Drosophila melanogaster: one gene and its partner. The protein of the gene in region 1 interacts with the protein of each later gene in a pairwise test. Each region holds a gene or a part of one and is shown on either strand. Other genes may lie near its edges.

Region 1 (8,348 bases):
AATGCAAATGCTGTTGCTGTTGCTGCTGCTTGCGTGTCTAGATTCTCGATTCTAGATTTCCGTCTTGGATGCTGCACTGCTGCAGCATATCACATAGTTGCCCCCCATCCCTGCTGGCCTCGAATTATGTTGTTCTTCACGGGAATTGGTTTGGCCTTCTGACAGCCCACCTCCACCTCTGTCCGCCCTGAAAAAACCCCTCCAATCTGCCGCCAGCCTGTGGATGCAATATGATTTCAATTAGTACCATTCGTTAGTGAGCGAGTGTGGCACTCAGAACTGATTATTGCAGAGACTTATAAATTGCTGTTTGGTTGCAAACTTCAAGAAGAATTATGTTTGCCTTTATTACTAGATCGACGCAATTATGCAAAATGTTTGTCTTAACTCAAAGATCCTGTAAATTTCTCTTATATTCAACAGTTTTCAGTAAAACATTTTAGGTATTAAGCTTTCTAGGCATAAAGTAATCCAATAAAATCAAACGTTTTATAGATCCTGAACAAACATTACATCGAAACCTATCCATTTCTTTTTTTTTTTCGTTACCTTACCGCAGCGGAAGGCGAATTATTGCTTTAAACAAATTTATTTATAACCCAAATTAAATAACTCAGAGCAATGGACTTGACTCCGGTTGCCACTAAATTCGCTAGTCGAATGCAATTTGCAGATTTACTAACCCCCAGGAGCAGAATGAGCAGGAGCCGCAGATGGAGCCACAGATGGAGATGGAGTCCGAGGAGCCGGACTTGCTGCAGTTTGGAGAAAATTGCAATTGCAATTACCAAGGCGGAGAAAGAGGGAGAGCGAACAGTGGGATAGAGAGAGAGAGAAAGAGAAGGAGGGAGCAGCGCCATGCCACGGGTAAAACAACTAAACAACGCCGAGCGACGACAGTTTGACTTGCAATTTTAGCTGCACCAGCAGACCCCAGCAGCGAAATCAGCGAAACCGTGGTCGCCGCATCATCCCCATCATCATCCGCGCCGTCATCATCATCATCGTCATCAAAGGAATCATCATTAGCGGCATCATCATTAACCAGTAAGTGAGGCAAAGTGGAGCTCACTCACGACTAGGCAATATCCTTTGCTTAAAAAGCGATTTAAACACAAAACTTAGAAATTACAAAGTGAAATACAATTGTATTTATACAAATAGTATTTAACAATAACATGTCCATCTTCTTTTTATAAATTGTAAAAATCTAAAAACTCCTTTATTTCGCTTAAAGCTTGAGCAAATAAAAGTTGTTCCTTTTGACCATTACATTTTGATGGTCAAACGCAGTATATCCGCATAATCCACGAGGATCTCGGGTACGAAAACCGCGCGCGCCTCGACCATATCCATTACAGCCAGAATAACAGGAGGCTCTGGAGCAGGAGCAGGCGGACTGGGATTGGAAATGGGATTGGGAATGGCAACGGGAATGGGAATGGGGCAATGTGGAGCAGGGCAGAGCACTAAGGGCCGAGGACAGCGAGTAGTTGTTGGCCTGCGGCTGCCCGTCCTGGCCAAGTTTGCGAGAAAATCGATTTTAGCGCTGCCTGCGCTCGCACGGGCGGCCTTTTGGATGCGAGTGTCCAGGTTTCAGGTCCAGATCCAGATCCAGCTCCACTGCGAGTGCGATTTCGAGTACGTTGCCCAGTCACAGTGCCATTCGTATTCCCCAGCCTTCAGTCCGCCAGTCGACAGTCCCACTCCCATTTTCATTCCCAGTAGGGGAGTTGCACTCCTGTTTGTCCACAGCAAGAAATACCAAGGGTTATACCTTTAAAAAGTTCGTTCTATGACTTTAAGAACTTAAACGTATAAAAGGATTTAAATTTAATTCCACATTTAAACTATCAAAAAAAAAAAAAGGAATAGCTTTTTTAAAGATAATTTTATAAATTTCATCCACTTTTCCGTTTAAGATTTATTTTGTTTCCCATTCTTGTTTTACAACTCAACTATTAAGATACACATATAGGCCTATCAGTACCATAAATCCACTTTATATCTGTGATTATCTTTATGGGGATGCACCTTTTTTTTGGCTCAGTGTCCGTTCTGTTTGTTTGTTTGTCGCTTTTAATGCTGAACGGAGTTGGCGAAGGCGACTCTTGACTGATTTTTATGCTTTTGGCCCAATTGCCCCGCAGTAGCCGCTCCGTTCGGAGAGCGGACTCCGATGGGCACTGGGCACTGGGCAATGGGCATCGACCGGTTCTCACTGCTCGGTCCTCGGTCCTCGGCCGGGATTACACCTTCCTGCCCTGCGAGGCGAGGTGCCCCCTCAATGCCACCCATTAGCGGCCCTTTGTTTGACTTGCAGTTGCAATATAAGGTCATTCCTCTGCTCTTGTTCTTGCCGGTGTTTTTGTTGCAGTTGCACGCTTTTCGTTTCGTTTGATGGCTGCGCACGCGGCCTTTTGTTAGTTTTCCCCAACCAATTTCATTTTTTCTTTTTTTTTTCCTTTCCATTATTATTATGCTTTTTTCGTACTCTTAAAGGGAACAACATCGGCGAAATCGCAGTCTAATCACTTCATTAGCCCGAGTCTCCCACCGCTTTTGGCCATGTTAACACGTTGTTCGCCTGCAAGTTGCACGAACTTGCTGGCAAAGTGCGAAAAAAAATGGATTTTAATTGAAAAAGTGTGGGAAGTGTAAACATCGATGCGACTTTTGCTTTCTTTGGATTGTTTAAGTGGTGCCCCGGATTTAATGTAAAACAACTAGAATGTATTTCAAAAGTATGAAAAATTCCATGAATTTTCTACAATTTTTGCAATCATAATTGTATAAATTTCAAGCAAATTTTTAATGGCTCTTAATAATAGTGCAAAATCATCGAGACAACTATGCTTTTATGTAAATTTTGTTTTGACCAATTACTCGGAGTATAAGTGCACATTTTGTAGATGTACAATTAAGTGTTGTTTGCCCACAACTAAATGCTTAAATGGAGACCATTAAAGTGGCTTTTAGAGCATCAAAACTCCAGTCGGAAATATCGCAAAAGTTGAATCGCAACTAATTTACTAACCCACACTATATTTGCCTAAAGTTTTCTCACAATTGTAAAGGTGAAATAGCATCAGCTGTGAGTCTGTGGAGCTGTGAAGAGTGCTCCTCTCGCTTATCGCATAATTGGTAGCAATGTTGGCTGCCACTTTTTGCTGCGGCTTCTGTGGCAGCAGGAACCATGGAAGCAGGCGATTCTTTCTCGGCTCTCCACCTCGCCACCGTATCCGTCGCATTCCGGAGATGCCGGCAAAACACTTGTCAGCGACTTAAATGGCGCGCAGCTGTGCGGCATTAGCTGGGGAGAGCTGGTAAGGCTGGGCAGCCAAGATCTGGGAGTTGAGAGGAGACCAGCGAGACCAGGGAGACCAGTGGACACACCTCTTAAGGAGGTGTTGCGACCGCTGCTCCAGGAAGTGGGCATCTGGAGGGGGAAGGCGTAGGGAGCACGGCACTGCAAGTCCAGTGGCGACATTTGATGTGATTATTGAGTTATGCCCACGGGGGCAGGTGCCAGGCATATTTCGCTTAATTTTCTGATGAAGTTATTCACCGAGATATGGAACGCAGCGAAAATGTACACGTATTATAAGCACAGATAAGCTACCCAAACAAGCAGGCACAAAAAAAATAAGAGACAAGGTAAAAGAAGGTGTGGTTGTGTGATTTTAAATGACAATCCTCTTCGGTGTCTAAAGTCGGCAGTTTAGGGTTTTATTTGGACACGGCCACGACAGGTGTTTAAAAAACATTTCAAGTCTCAAAATGTTGAAAGCACACAAGTAATCAATGTTTTTTTAATTGACGTTTAATTATTGCTCGAGACAGAAATTAATTGAGTTCGATAAATCATTATGTCGAACTTTCAATATGTCTTTGAATATTTCATATTATGTGATTCTGCATAATTTTCAATTAAAGAATTTATATCAGTGGGTTAAATGCGTGTTGTAATTTTGCACAAGAACTTTCAATTCGAAAGAAGATACGCACTTTTTAAGTGAAATATGTGACTTTATGAGTCATTCTATCTCAAAAAGGAAGTTTTCAAGACATTAAGGAAGTGTTTATACAATTTAAACCAAATGAGTGAAAAATGGACAATTGTATAACAAAATGCAGAGAGGAAGTGTTGCATAAATAATTAACATTTGTCAGGAAATCTGTGGGCAGCAACAACAAAAAGCCGGCCAAGAGTCAGAATTAGAGGGAAATAAGAGGGAGACAGAGATGAAACGAAAACAGCAGGCACTACTAAATCACCGACAACAACAACAACAGCAACCCCGGAGGATGAGGATAGAGTGGAAATGGGAAGGGAATAAAAACATAAAAAAAAGCGGCACAGATTGCCGAGAACAAGAACTAAACACAGGCACACACACAGTTTGAGCACTCCAGCTGTGTAGTTGTTGTTGTTGCTGTTTTTTCGCCGCTCCTTTCTGCCCTGCAATCAATAAAACGGATTAGGAATATCCTTTAAATGCGGCGCTTGGTGGAGGCTGCACACACACACTATCGCACTCACGAAATCTCCCTCACACACACAAAAGCACACACAGGCACACATGGCTGCAAATCTTTTACAATAACACATATAGGAGGAATAGAAGTAGCGGCACTTACTTTTCGTTTTCGTGTTTCTCCGTTCGTAGAGGAAATTAGGAGATGGCAATTGAAGGTGGAAGAAAGGAGGATGGCAAGGAGGAGATGAAAACAAAACCGAAAAACGTACACTCAAACACGCACGCACACGAAGACACGCAGGGCGCAATGATTTACCGTTACGCGACGCGAAAATGCTCACAGGAATGGCTACCAATTTACTCCAATTTTGATTTTGTCACTTGCATCACAAACATTCACATTCGACCCCAACGACCTTGCTGTTCCTCCTACGCGCAACTAAAGTGCTATGCTACAAATGCAATTTAAATGCTTGCTAAATAACTGGGTTTTTTTTTTCGTAGAGGAACACACACGACGTTTCAAATTAACAAATTGCTGCCGGTTGTGTCTGCGTTATCACGATTCCTTGATGGCATGGCTGATGGTAATTGGTTATTGGCCAGCCTGTTTGCTTATTAAACGGCTCGTTTGGCCACCGTTTTCGTTTCGCTCAATTCTCAATCACAACACACTTGCTTCAGTTTTACCGGCTTTTTCAGTTTCAATTTCACGCGAATAGACCGCTCGAGCTGGTTTTCAAAACGACCGGATCTCGAACATTTCGACGACTGACCGCGCGGCGATAAATGCGTTCGTATATATTCGTATATGTTGCTTGCTCCATCTGGCATTTTTAGCATCACAGCCGAGCTCGCGAACGGTCACTCTCTTGGTTCGATGCAACCGATTTAGTTCGAGTTCGAAGGGTTTCGAACTTACGTTTCTTATATTAAAAGAAGTGCACAAAAATTCAATAAATTGTTTGTTTCTATTTATATTTCATAATTAGAAAAGTACAATTATTGTTTACCGTTTTCTTGCCCGTAGATCATTTAAATTTAGCCGCGCCACAATTGCATTCTTATATTTGAAATACGTACTAATTGGGCGAATTTAGTTCATTTAGTACAATTGATGCGCATGCGTCTCTCTTGAAAATTAAATTCTCTCGCATTTACAGTGCCAAGATAACTGTTAAGCTAACAGCTGTTAAGTCTAAGCAATAAATAAAAAAATAGTAAACTGTATAAATATCAGTATTATTAAAAATATTTACATTTATTTCGTTTCTTTTTGTTTTTGGCGGTTTCAGAAACCAATTCAGAAATTTAATTTACAATTTTTATGAGTTCAAGCTTTGAGCGATTTGATTGAGTGGTTCGATTTCCGTATCCAGCGATACAGAGGGCAGCACATGAAGCACCAAAAGCACCCGGGATCACACACACATCCTTGGTCCTGGAACATCCACTCCTGGGGATCTCGAAGAATACAGCCACAAAATTGGAAGATCTATGTATATAGAAAGTTTTGACCGCTCACACGGCGGTGATGAGATGGGCGTCATCCTCGTTGATTCGATCCGACTTTCCATTGACCTCGATCGTGTGATTGGACTCGGTGTCGCTGGGTTCCTGCTCGACCTCCTCATCCGCTTCATCGTCCTCGTCCCCCTGGGAGGAGTTCTCACCATTTTCCTTGTCGGGCGATTCTCGCTCCTCGTTTTCCTCGTATATGACGTCACAGCTGGTGGCTATTGATTTGGGCGGCGGCTTCTTTACCGCTTTTCCACCGCCTTTGCGGTCACCATTTTGTTGCATCTCGGACATTTGAATCTGCATTTCCCGCAGGCGATCGGTGAGCACATACAAATCCCGCTCCTGACTCTCGCATCGTGTCCTCAATTCGGTTATCTCACGCAGATCCTCGGCTCGAGGATCTCGTCTTTCGTATCGCATGCGCATCTCCTCAAATCTGCGCAAAAAGGATTGCAAAATTCCTTAAATATTTACTATATTCACTACTAAACTACCAAAAAGGATAATGGTGAATTCAAGGCGGATGCTGGATACTGACTTGGCGTACAACATCCCACAACACGGACAAGCAAAAGTAAGATAAATTTGTGTTAAAGATAAAAAGAGTTAAAAGGTCGAGCTCTTAAATCCCTTTCCTTTCCGATTTTATTTTTTTATTTTTCAAAATTATATAAAGATAAGAATCTTATATTTTAGCAAAATTCGAAAGTTTCGAATCATAATTCCATAGATCTGTGGTCTCAATCACACTCAATCTTTTAATTAACTTTCCTTAGACTTAGGAACTCGACCTTGGGGAAGATGGGTCAGGGTGGCTGGTGGTTTTTGGGGAATGGGTGCACTTACAGATTGGTCAGGCAGCGGCACTTGCGATGCAGCTGCTCGATCTCGTTGGCGTTGCTGATGTCGCGCTTGTCCAGCGCCGCCTTCTCGGCATCGTAGGCCGCCTTCAGGTCCTTGAGATTGCGCTGGTGCCGAAGTTCTACATCGCTGCGGTTGCGGATGCGGATACGAATGCGTACGCGGATACGGATGCAGATTCGGATTCGGGTTGGGGTTATTCAGGTTATATAGAGTGGTCAGAGGTTGAGGTGGATACACACACATAGCGAGAAAGAGAAAGTAAAATATTAGGAGAATCGCACCAGAAGGACAACGTTTGACAAGCTGCATGCCAGATAAAAACATATTTTTTTTCTTATGGGTTTTGTTCGCATTTCAAACATTTCAATACCAATGTCTTATGTCTAACAAGAGATTTTCGATGATGGCCAGTCTTAAATTTAAATCAAGAATCATTTTAAGCGTGAAAAGGGGGATTAATATTTTATTGGCGCGCTAGGAGGTGGCGATATTTGATATAGATCACTGCGACAATATTGAACACCAAGCATGCAATGGCGATCAGCGGCGACATGGTCAGATATAGCACATATAGTGTGGGCATATACGGCCACGCCCCCTTTGCAAACGCCCACAGGGCTGGAGAGGCTGTCGATCGACCTAAACGCTGATCCATGCTGATCCAATGAATGAAATGTGAAACGAAAGAGAACAGAATACAAGTTCATGTGATAATGGATCGAGTTCAAGGACTCCAATGTGACAAATGTGGCAAATGAGTAGGATGCAGACATTCAATGCAAGCCAATGGATCCTGCTTCAATTTAGTGGGGAGCAGCGGTCAGGGGGCACTATTAAGGTAAGTATGCCCATGGGGCGGGGCATGCCACATTGCATTCACTCACTTGATTCGTTCATCGGCAGCGGCCATTTTTGCGCGATGTCGCTCCACAAGTTCCTGCAACGCCTCCTCCTTCTCCGCCTGCAACTTGGCCTTTTGTGAGTCTGCCGATTGATATAATCAATTATATAATTATATATAATAATAATCAATATACACATGTATCTTTACCCAGCTCCTTTCGATGTGATTCGACCATTTCCTGAGTGGAGAGCTGCAGTTCCTTGGCAAACTCCTCCTTAACTTGACCGAGACGTTCGCGGAACTTCTCCTCCATTTCGGCCTTCTCCGCCTCGAACTCCTTCTGGAGTCGTTCCTCCAGCTCGACACGGCGATCCTCCTCGCGGCACATGGCATTCTGGTACTCGCGATCGGCCTTATCCAAATGCATTCGGGTCTGAAGCAGGGCGTTATCCGAACGTTCGCGCAGGCTGAGGAAATCCTGTTTCTTTTGCTCCAGGCTCTCGTGCAGATCGTCAATCTAAATGATGGTTTATAAAATGCAAATATGCATTCGATTGCAGTTTATCTATAACACTATGAACCCACCTCAGATCGCAGTTCCTCCTCGTTGGCCGTGTATCTGTTGGTCAGGGCCCTCA
Region 2 (8,292 bases), on another chromosome or scaffold:
GGACCCAAATGCTAGTTAGGCATTAATGTGCGGAGCACACGAGAAATCTACGGAAATCCTGTGAATTTTCCATCGCAGCCATTGCGTGGGCCCGCCTTATTATGGCGGCTCGACTTTGACTTTCTCTTTTTAGCCCTCTCGAAGCGGAAGTCATTTTCGCGAAAATCGAGGGGGGCGGGGGGTGGAAACGGCGGGCAGGTTGAACACAACTGCAACTTTGAGGCAAAATGCGAATCAAAAAGAAATGGACGCGTTTCCAGATCATAAAGGCAATTTTATAGCCTGGTGGGCATTTCAGTTTTGTATTTTTATTGACAATAAGTTAACAATGTTTACGTGTTTAGTTGGTTGTTGTTGTTGTTTGGACTATTTTTGAGGCATCACAACAACCTCCTGACCGGACCAAAAATACTCGGTGTTTTCCCAACTGCTTCGAATTTCCCACATTTCCCCGCGATGATTTTCTTTTGTTTACAATTAGTTTTTTCGTTCTTTTTAAATTTGTTCCATCGGCTTAATGAAAAATGAGAAATATGTACTACTGAGCAGAGAAGCGCGAGAGAACGAGAGAATGGGAGAATGTGAGAAAGGGAGAGTGGGTGAGAGTCTCATTTTCTCTGCGCCTGCTCATAGGACCCTTGGGCTTTGGATACGGGCTAAGGATGTGGGTCTCGGTTTCGGTTTCGGGCTAGCGTTCGGCTTAGGCTGTGGGATCCGGACTGGGATTGGTTCGGATTCGGGTTTGGGTTGGTGTTTGGATTTGGGGATGAGGAGGGCCTTTGCCCTCGCCGTCGGCCCAACATCAAAAAACATTTCGCCATTTGTCTCTGGGACCTGTAAAGATTTTCTAATTTTCCTTGTACTTTTCACTTTTGCCCGTGAGTGTGTCGCCGCGCTTAAGTAGGGTTTTATGTATCCTCCCACTAGGAACAAAATTGAAGGTGTCTCCTCGAGTAAGGTGTCTATTTGGCAAGCATTTCAAAGAAACTAATTCGCATTAGTGGCACCTTTTCCCCCCATGAAAATTAAATCGGTTTTATACACGATTTATTTTCAATCGTCAGAGCTCTATAAATATCTCTGCTGCAATATTGATCCCACACCCAGTGCACTGCATTTTGGGTCAGCAGATTTATCATTGCCAACGGGTAAGCTAATTATGCTTATGTTATTATTATAATAATATTAAAACATCGAATCATAATCAAATTTGTTGCTTTTGAAAACAATTATTCGGATTAAATTTGCACATGGACAGAAAATCTTTCACATATCTTAATAGCCGATTGCAATAATTATTTAAAAAACATAAATTTGTAATTGAATCATAAACATCGCGATGTTGGCTATAAATTCAAACAAAGGCATGCATTAAATGCATTTAATTATTCGCCAACTGATGCATGGACAATTAAAATCATCTCAATTTGGAAACGGAGTAAAATAATTTCAACAATATTTGTTTGCATTGGCAAGAAAAATATTGACCAGCTTTCAGCATCCTTCGCATATTAATTTTTATGTAGCCGCAACACACTGCGTATGCTTATTATTAATTCAAGCATTGCCCATACGTCATGTTGTGCCAGAGGACAATACAAGAAAAGGCCGAATGCGTCGACAGCAATTCGATTTCAAGGTGATTTATTATTTAAATTTCATGTTCCGAAACAAGTCTGGGCAGCAACAAGAAGAAGCAAGGGTTGCTGGAAACTGGTAAACTCAATGGCACGTGCACTTGGAAAAACTGAATCAAAATAACATGTATTCCATATTCAACTATTTGATCCTTACACTTGTTATTTTGGCTATTACCTTTTATTATTATACCCACATCATTTGTGTGATATCTATGTAATCATTATACAATACGTATACTTCTCAACCGTTAAAGTTTTTCTCAAATTCATAGCTTACACAATATAAGAAAATGTTGGGATTCGGGATGTTCAAGGATGAAACTTTGGAGTTTCCGCCGTTGTTCGCATTAATTGCAAAAGACATTAAAACTTTATAGAGTCGTGCTTATCAGTTGGCCAACATCGTCAGCTGGAAGAGCTGCAATGTAGCGAATCCACCACCACTAGCACCGAAAAACTTTCGTCCTGATGGCCATGGCAAGCAGGACACCAAGAGCGGTTCAAAGGGATGTGATGATGCGGGGCGTCCAGTGGACGTGCAAGTGGCCCAAAGAGCCAAATCCTGGGTCGCACTGGGTGGATGGTGCGGCTAACAGCGATGGGGTGGTGGTTGCTTGGTTGGATGTGGCCAATGGCGTAATTTATGTAGGCCCGCTAAGCCTTTTCATGCGTAAAATGTGTTTATATCTGCGTATAAATACGCGTACAACTGTGACCACGTACGGGATTGTGTACTATATGTGCTTATTGGGGTGTAAGAGATATATGTATAGAGATACAACCAGGGGTAGCAAAATAATTTGCGGTCGAAACAAAAAATCTTCAATACTACAGGATATTCGTGATAATTATTACTAAGATCTTCAAGAGTAAAAGCACTTATTTCTATTAAGATCAACCCCATCGATTTGAGGTGAGGTAATAAAAGAACCGCATTACGGTGTCCATGTGCATTAAGCTGCAATAAAAGTGTAATTTTAAACCAATGATAACAAAACAACAACTACTGGATGTGCGGCAGCTGCTCTGCAACTGCGCTGCAACTGCGCTGCCTCTGCTGCTTTAAGCGCGTCATCAAAGAGACACACACACACATAGAAGAGAGATAAAGCCTTTGTGTGTGTGTGCGCTTGCATCGGTGATGCTGGTATTAGTGCAGCTTTGTTATTGCGCCAAAAACCAAGCCAAGGATTTTTCACACATTTACGCCAACAAATGGACTGCAGCTGCACTGGGCAAAAGGATAGTACATAAATTTGATATCTGCATTATTATACTCATTAATATCGGGAAAATAAATGTTAGGTTGCAATCCAATTCCGGGATTCTACTTCAACATTTTCAAATGTTGGGTTTATTTATAAGATAAGAAATTTATTGTTAAGAAACACATCAAAATCCCTATAAGTTATATGATTATATTTGAATGAGAGAAATACTACAAAAAAACTATGTTCATATGTAAGTAAAATGTAAATGGGAGCACTACAATCTGGCTAACAGTAAAAATAAATTTTAAAGGAATTATTGTTATGCTTTGAAGGAATTTTTAAAGAAATATCGGAAAGCAACGATTTTTCCCAGTGTCCTGTTTGCTCCTGGCTGCCTCGCTCTCTCTTTCTCTCCTACAGACGACCTTCACTTTCGTGGGACCGACCGTTATATATTTTGTGTGCCTAACGCTTTTTTAACGTGTTATGTTGTTTCTCTATTTTCGCTGGCCCGCTGGTCAAATTAATACCCTGAGTGGGTGGTGCGTGTGTGGAGAGGGGGGCTGAGGCGATTGTCGATTTAAATAGGCCAACTATGCAGAAAAAACAACTTGTTGTTGGGCTGCAGGCACGCCATAAGGTGCACTTAAAAAGCGTGTTTTAAAATGAGCTAACCGCATGGCAAGGATATGGGCGGTTTGAACTAGATGTGAATTTTCCACACTTATTTTCCCTCTGGTTTTCTGTTATTTTTTACGGCTGTTGTTGTTGCTGAGAGAACGAGCGCTACAGCAACAACAAAAACAACAACAACAACAACAGCAACATTCGCGGATACACACATTTTCACAAATCAAAAAAGCAAACGAATATTGCCACACAAACCCGTACACAGAGAAACACACTCCCACACACACACATACACACAAATGAACAAGAGAGACAGACAGGGAAAATCTCTCATTTTTTATGGATTTTCTGGGAAGGCAATCTGCTTTCGCTGATGTTTGATTAAACAATTGCTTTTTATACTCCTGTTGACTATCGTCCATCATCTGCCCGCATTTCGCTGGGAAATTGGGGAAAACTGTTTACACATACATACGCACGCCTTTCGTTTTATTGCATTTTACACTTCTCGCCTCTTACACTTTTCCCACCTCATCCGTTCCTCCTTTCGTTAGCCGCACATTTTCCGCACTACTGCGTGTACATTTTCCACGCTTTCGATCCGGGAAATTCGATGCTGGCCCCTGTCTGTTTTTGGAAAAACAATTTTTCTGACACTTTTTCAGCCTTTTCTGCACGCACGGGGGCCACAAAAAACTTGGCCCAAACTGCGTCCCGCTTTTTGCTCCGCTCGGCGTTTTCTTGGGGGCGTTCAGACAAACAGTTTTCGACAAACTGAAAGTGAAAAGTAAATGCAAAAGCGCCAGCGCCTCCGACAGTCGGTAGTTTCACTCGGAGCATGCGAGTCCGAACCCAAATCCGAACCAGAATCCGGGACAGCAGCGAGATGCTCACGGCGTCGGCGCACTTCGACGAGCAAGTGGTGGCCACTGGCCTCTGAAGACGATGCAGAATCGAAACAGATGTTCATGTTGCCTTCCGAATGAACTATGATCAAATATTTATGGCTAATACCACATATCAATGGATTCATATCAAGGATATCACAATTCAGTCGCAGTCGATAGCCATGCATTTTTCACAGGATCTATAGTTTATTAGCCCCTTACCTGTTACCCACACTTAGCAAACCTTTATACTGTTTTGAATCGAATATAATCGAAAAAGAAAGTTACTTGAAACCGAATTGTATCTCCAAAATGTATAGTTTAATTAATTATAGTTAATTTATAATTTATTTATAAAAACATGACCAAATCTTAATATTAATTTGGTTCACCCAGCGCACCCAAACATGATTTGCAATAAATATGTTTTATTTTTGATAATACAACATTACAAATATCACTGAATATCTATCAAGGACACGGCTTGTACACATGCTTATGGCAAAGTGCTTTCCAAGCCAAAAAATTCACTAAAGATTTGGCCCTGCAAACATTTTCCATTCCATAGTTTATGGGCCAATTGGGATAATTATGAATTTTTTTAGTTGAACGCACACATTCAAATCAAAAATAAAAATCTAAATTTAAAAAGAAAAATTTTCAACAATCTTCAGACCAACTGATTATTAGCAAAATCTTTTAAGGCCAGTTTTAGCCAATCTTCTTTGGAAGTGAAAATGGAAGCCTGGCCAGTTCTAATATTACTAGGCGAGTGAGGGATTTCGGAGTGATTTTCTATTTGGCGGCCGGAGCAGATCCTTCGCTCTGCTGAGAGTCATTAAACTGTTTGTGCCACTCGAGATTCATCTTTGTGACGGATTCTCCTTTCTTGGCGGCCTGCTTGCCACTGTACACCATAATGGCGCATCCCACGGCGGTGAGTGCGATCATTATGTTGGCCAGGCGGATGCGCATTTTGTTGCGGCAGCGCTCCATGACATCCTGACTGCAAGTTTTGACACCAAAACTTAGACACCTGTTGCATTTGCTCTCTAAGAATCGGCACTTACCTAACGAAATTGGGAATCTCGGACTGCGACTTGTATTTGCCGGTCCAAACCAACATACGGCGCTCCAGATTGTTTGGCTCGTGGTTCTTGATCGTCTCTCGCAACATCTGACTGGTGCCGAAGGATCTACGCACCAAGGCGCCAATTAACCCCGTTTTGCTTAGCATATTGCCTTTTTTAATCGTTTCACAAGTAATCTTGCAAAAGAGAATTGGAATTTTATGCAATTCGATTAACAGTGGTTGCTAACATAACAGAGCTGTCACACGGTCGATAACTGTGAAAACAGCTGGGATTTCTTTGGTCACCCTGAGAGACGTTCACACTGTACAATGAAGTGATTGAAAAAATGAACAACAAACTAAACTAAACTGGAAATTCTTTGTTAATCAGGTGAAATTTTGATGGTGCTAAAACTGCTGGAAAAAATAAATCTGATATTTAAAAATATATAGTAGGGAAAAATATTAGAAGTAAAGCAGTGTGACCATCTCTGAAATATGCTTAGTCGACCCAGCAACGGTCACTCTGCTATCCCCTTTAGTTTTCGTTTGCGGTGGAATAAAAGTCGGAAAAGTCAATTAAAAGCCGACTGCCACACGTCCAGAAAGCGAATTTGCGATCAAGGTCAAGATGAGCGAGTACACAAGCATTCTGCAGCGCGAGTTTCCCAAAATCGACCACGAGCTGCTCACCTATGTCGTTGGCGTGCTCACCGGAAGTAAGTGCCTTGCACTAGCCTGTGATCTTTTATTCTTTACCCCGCACACAAATTCCAATTGCCAGGCGAGGAGGACTTCGAAAGCGGCGATGACATCTTCGAAGCGGTGGGCGACATCCTGCAGAGCGTCGACTGTGATAGGTCGGAGGAGAGTGTACGTACGCTTTGCGAGCAGTTCCTCAACATCATGAAGAACAACGAGGTCAACGTGGAGCGAAAGGTTCTCAACGCGCCGGTCAACATCGAGGAGATGGCCAAGAACATGGAGCGGCTGGACAAGGATATGCAAAGCATCTGGGTGGCCAACAAAGATGGCGCCAATGTAAGTGTTCCCCTTGACGAACCACTCCAATAAACTGAATGAACGGCGCCATCAATACGACTTTCATTAAATAACAACTAAACTATTCTTATTTTAACAGAAAGTGGACTCCAAGAAACTAGGAAAGGCGGAGGCCAAGCTGCAGCAGAAGCAGGAGAAACGGCAGGAGGTGAACAAACATGGTATGATTCCTGTTGCGGTGAAGCTACAAACGGCCACAGCCTCACAGGTGACCAACAAGAAGAACACCAAGCTGGATCAGAAAGGTCTTAACCGATCCATGGACATCAAGATCGAAAACTTTGACCTGGCTTTTGGCGAAAAGTGAGGCAACCTAACTGTCGAAATTGAGCAACCGAAAATTATTGTTAATTCCATTTAGAGTTCTTCTGCAGAATGCGAATCTGCTGCTGTCTTACGGACGCCGCTATGGTCTGGTGGGACGCAATGGCCTGGGCAAGACTACACTGCTCCGCATGATTGCCGAGCGACAGCTACAGATCCCTTCGCACATATCGGTGCTGCACGTGGAGCAGGAGGTGGTTGGCGATGACACACCAGCAGTGGAGAGTGTGCTGGAATGTGATACTGAGCGAACGAGACTTCTGACCCGCGAGAAGGAGATTCTGGCTGCCCTTAACAATGGAGTTCAGGATGCGACGCTGTCCAATGAGCTGAGCGAGACCTACGCCTCTCTGCAGAACATCGAGGCGGACAAGGCTGTGGCCCGCGCATCTGTGATACTTAAGGGCTTGGGATTCGATGCAGATATGCAGCTGCGTCCAACTAAATCCTTCTCAGGCGGCTGGCGCATGCGTCTTGCTTTGGCCAGGGCACTGTTCTCAAAACCCGATCTGTTACTGCTCGATGAGCCGACGAACATGTTAGACATCAAAGCCATTATTTGGCTGGAAAACTATCTGCAGACATGGGCCACCACCATTCTGGTAGTTTCTCACGATCGCAACTTCCTGGACACGGTGCCGACAGACATTATTCACCTACATTCCCAGGAACTGGAGGCATACAAGTAACTATTACAAATTACAAAATGTAGCCTAATTTAAATATAAATTGTTTTTTCCCCAGGGGAAACTATGAACAGTTCGAGAAGACCAAGACGGAGAAGCTGAAGTCCCAAAGACGTGAATACGAGGCCCAAATGGCTCACAGAGCTCATGTCCAGGACTTCATCGATCGCTTCCGATACAACGCAAACCGTGCCTCGTCTGTGCAATCCAAAATTAAAATGCTCGAAAAGCTGTAAGTACAAAAATATAAATTAAAATAATGACTGGAAGAAATTTAAAACATCTACGTTCGCTTTGCAGGCCGGAACTAAAGCCAGTGGAAAAGGAGACTGTGGTCACGCTCAAATTCCCCGAAGTGGAACCCCTTAATCCTCCCGTGCTGGCCATTTCGGAGGTTACTTTCCGTTACAATCCAGAAGATCCACTGCCCATCTTCAAGGGCGTCAATCTCTCAGCCACATCGGACTCTCGAATTTGCATTGTCGGAGAAAACGGAGCGGGAAAGTCGACGCTGCTGAAGATTATTGTCGGTCAACTGAGCACTATTCACGGAAACATTGTCCTGCATCGCGGTCTTCGAATTGGATATTTTGCGCAGCACCATGTGGACCATCTGAATATGAATGTAACGTGTGTGGGAGTTTTGGCAGAACTGTTTCCTGGTCGCCCGGACGAAGAGTATCGCCGGCAGTTGGGCAGCTTCGGCATATCCGGACCACTGGCACTGCAGAGCATTGCCAGTTTATCTGGAGGACAAAAATCACGAGTGGCCTTAGCAAA

What was found. The genes of interacting proteins can lie anywhere in the genome.
Region 2: the proteins of SKIP (region 1) and Shal interact in a two-hybrid assay, tested with the Drosophila melanogaster proteins (one study listed by BioGRID).

What each region holds. Positions count from the first base shown.
Region 1 is NT_033777.3:22,130,745-22,139,092, reverse strand, and holds the start of SKIP (shal K[+] channel interacting protein), read right to left. Parts: upstream 5,264-8,348; 5' UTR 4,642-5,263; intron 1-4,641. Other genes in the region: CG42390 (uncharacterized protein), read right to left, coding at 6,003-6,438, 6,849-6,992, 7,340-7,522, 7,751-7,850, 7,918-8,227, 8,296-8,348.
Region 2 is NT_037436.4:19,580,311-19,588,602, forward strand, and holds the start of Shal (shaker cognate l), read right to left. Parts: upstream 4,259-8,292; 5' UTR 4,012-4,258; exon of another isoform or gene 4,001-4,011; intron 1-4,000. Other genes in the region: CG9231 (uncharacterized protein), read right to left, coding at 5,164-5,374, 5,439-5,605; CG9330 (uncharacterized protein), read left to right, coding at 6,072-6,159, 6,225-6,481, 6,582-6,805, 6,864-7,511, 7,571-7,744, 7,813-8,292. UniProt on the Drosophila melanogaster protein: Mediates the voltage-dependent potassium ion permeability of excitable membranes.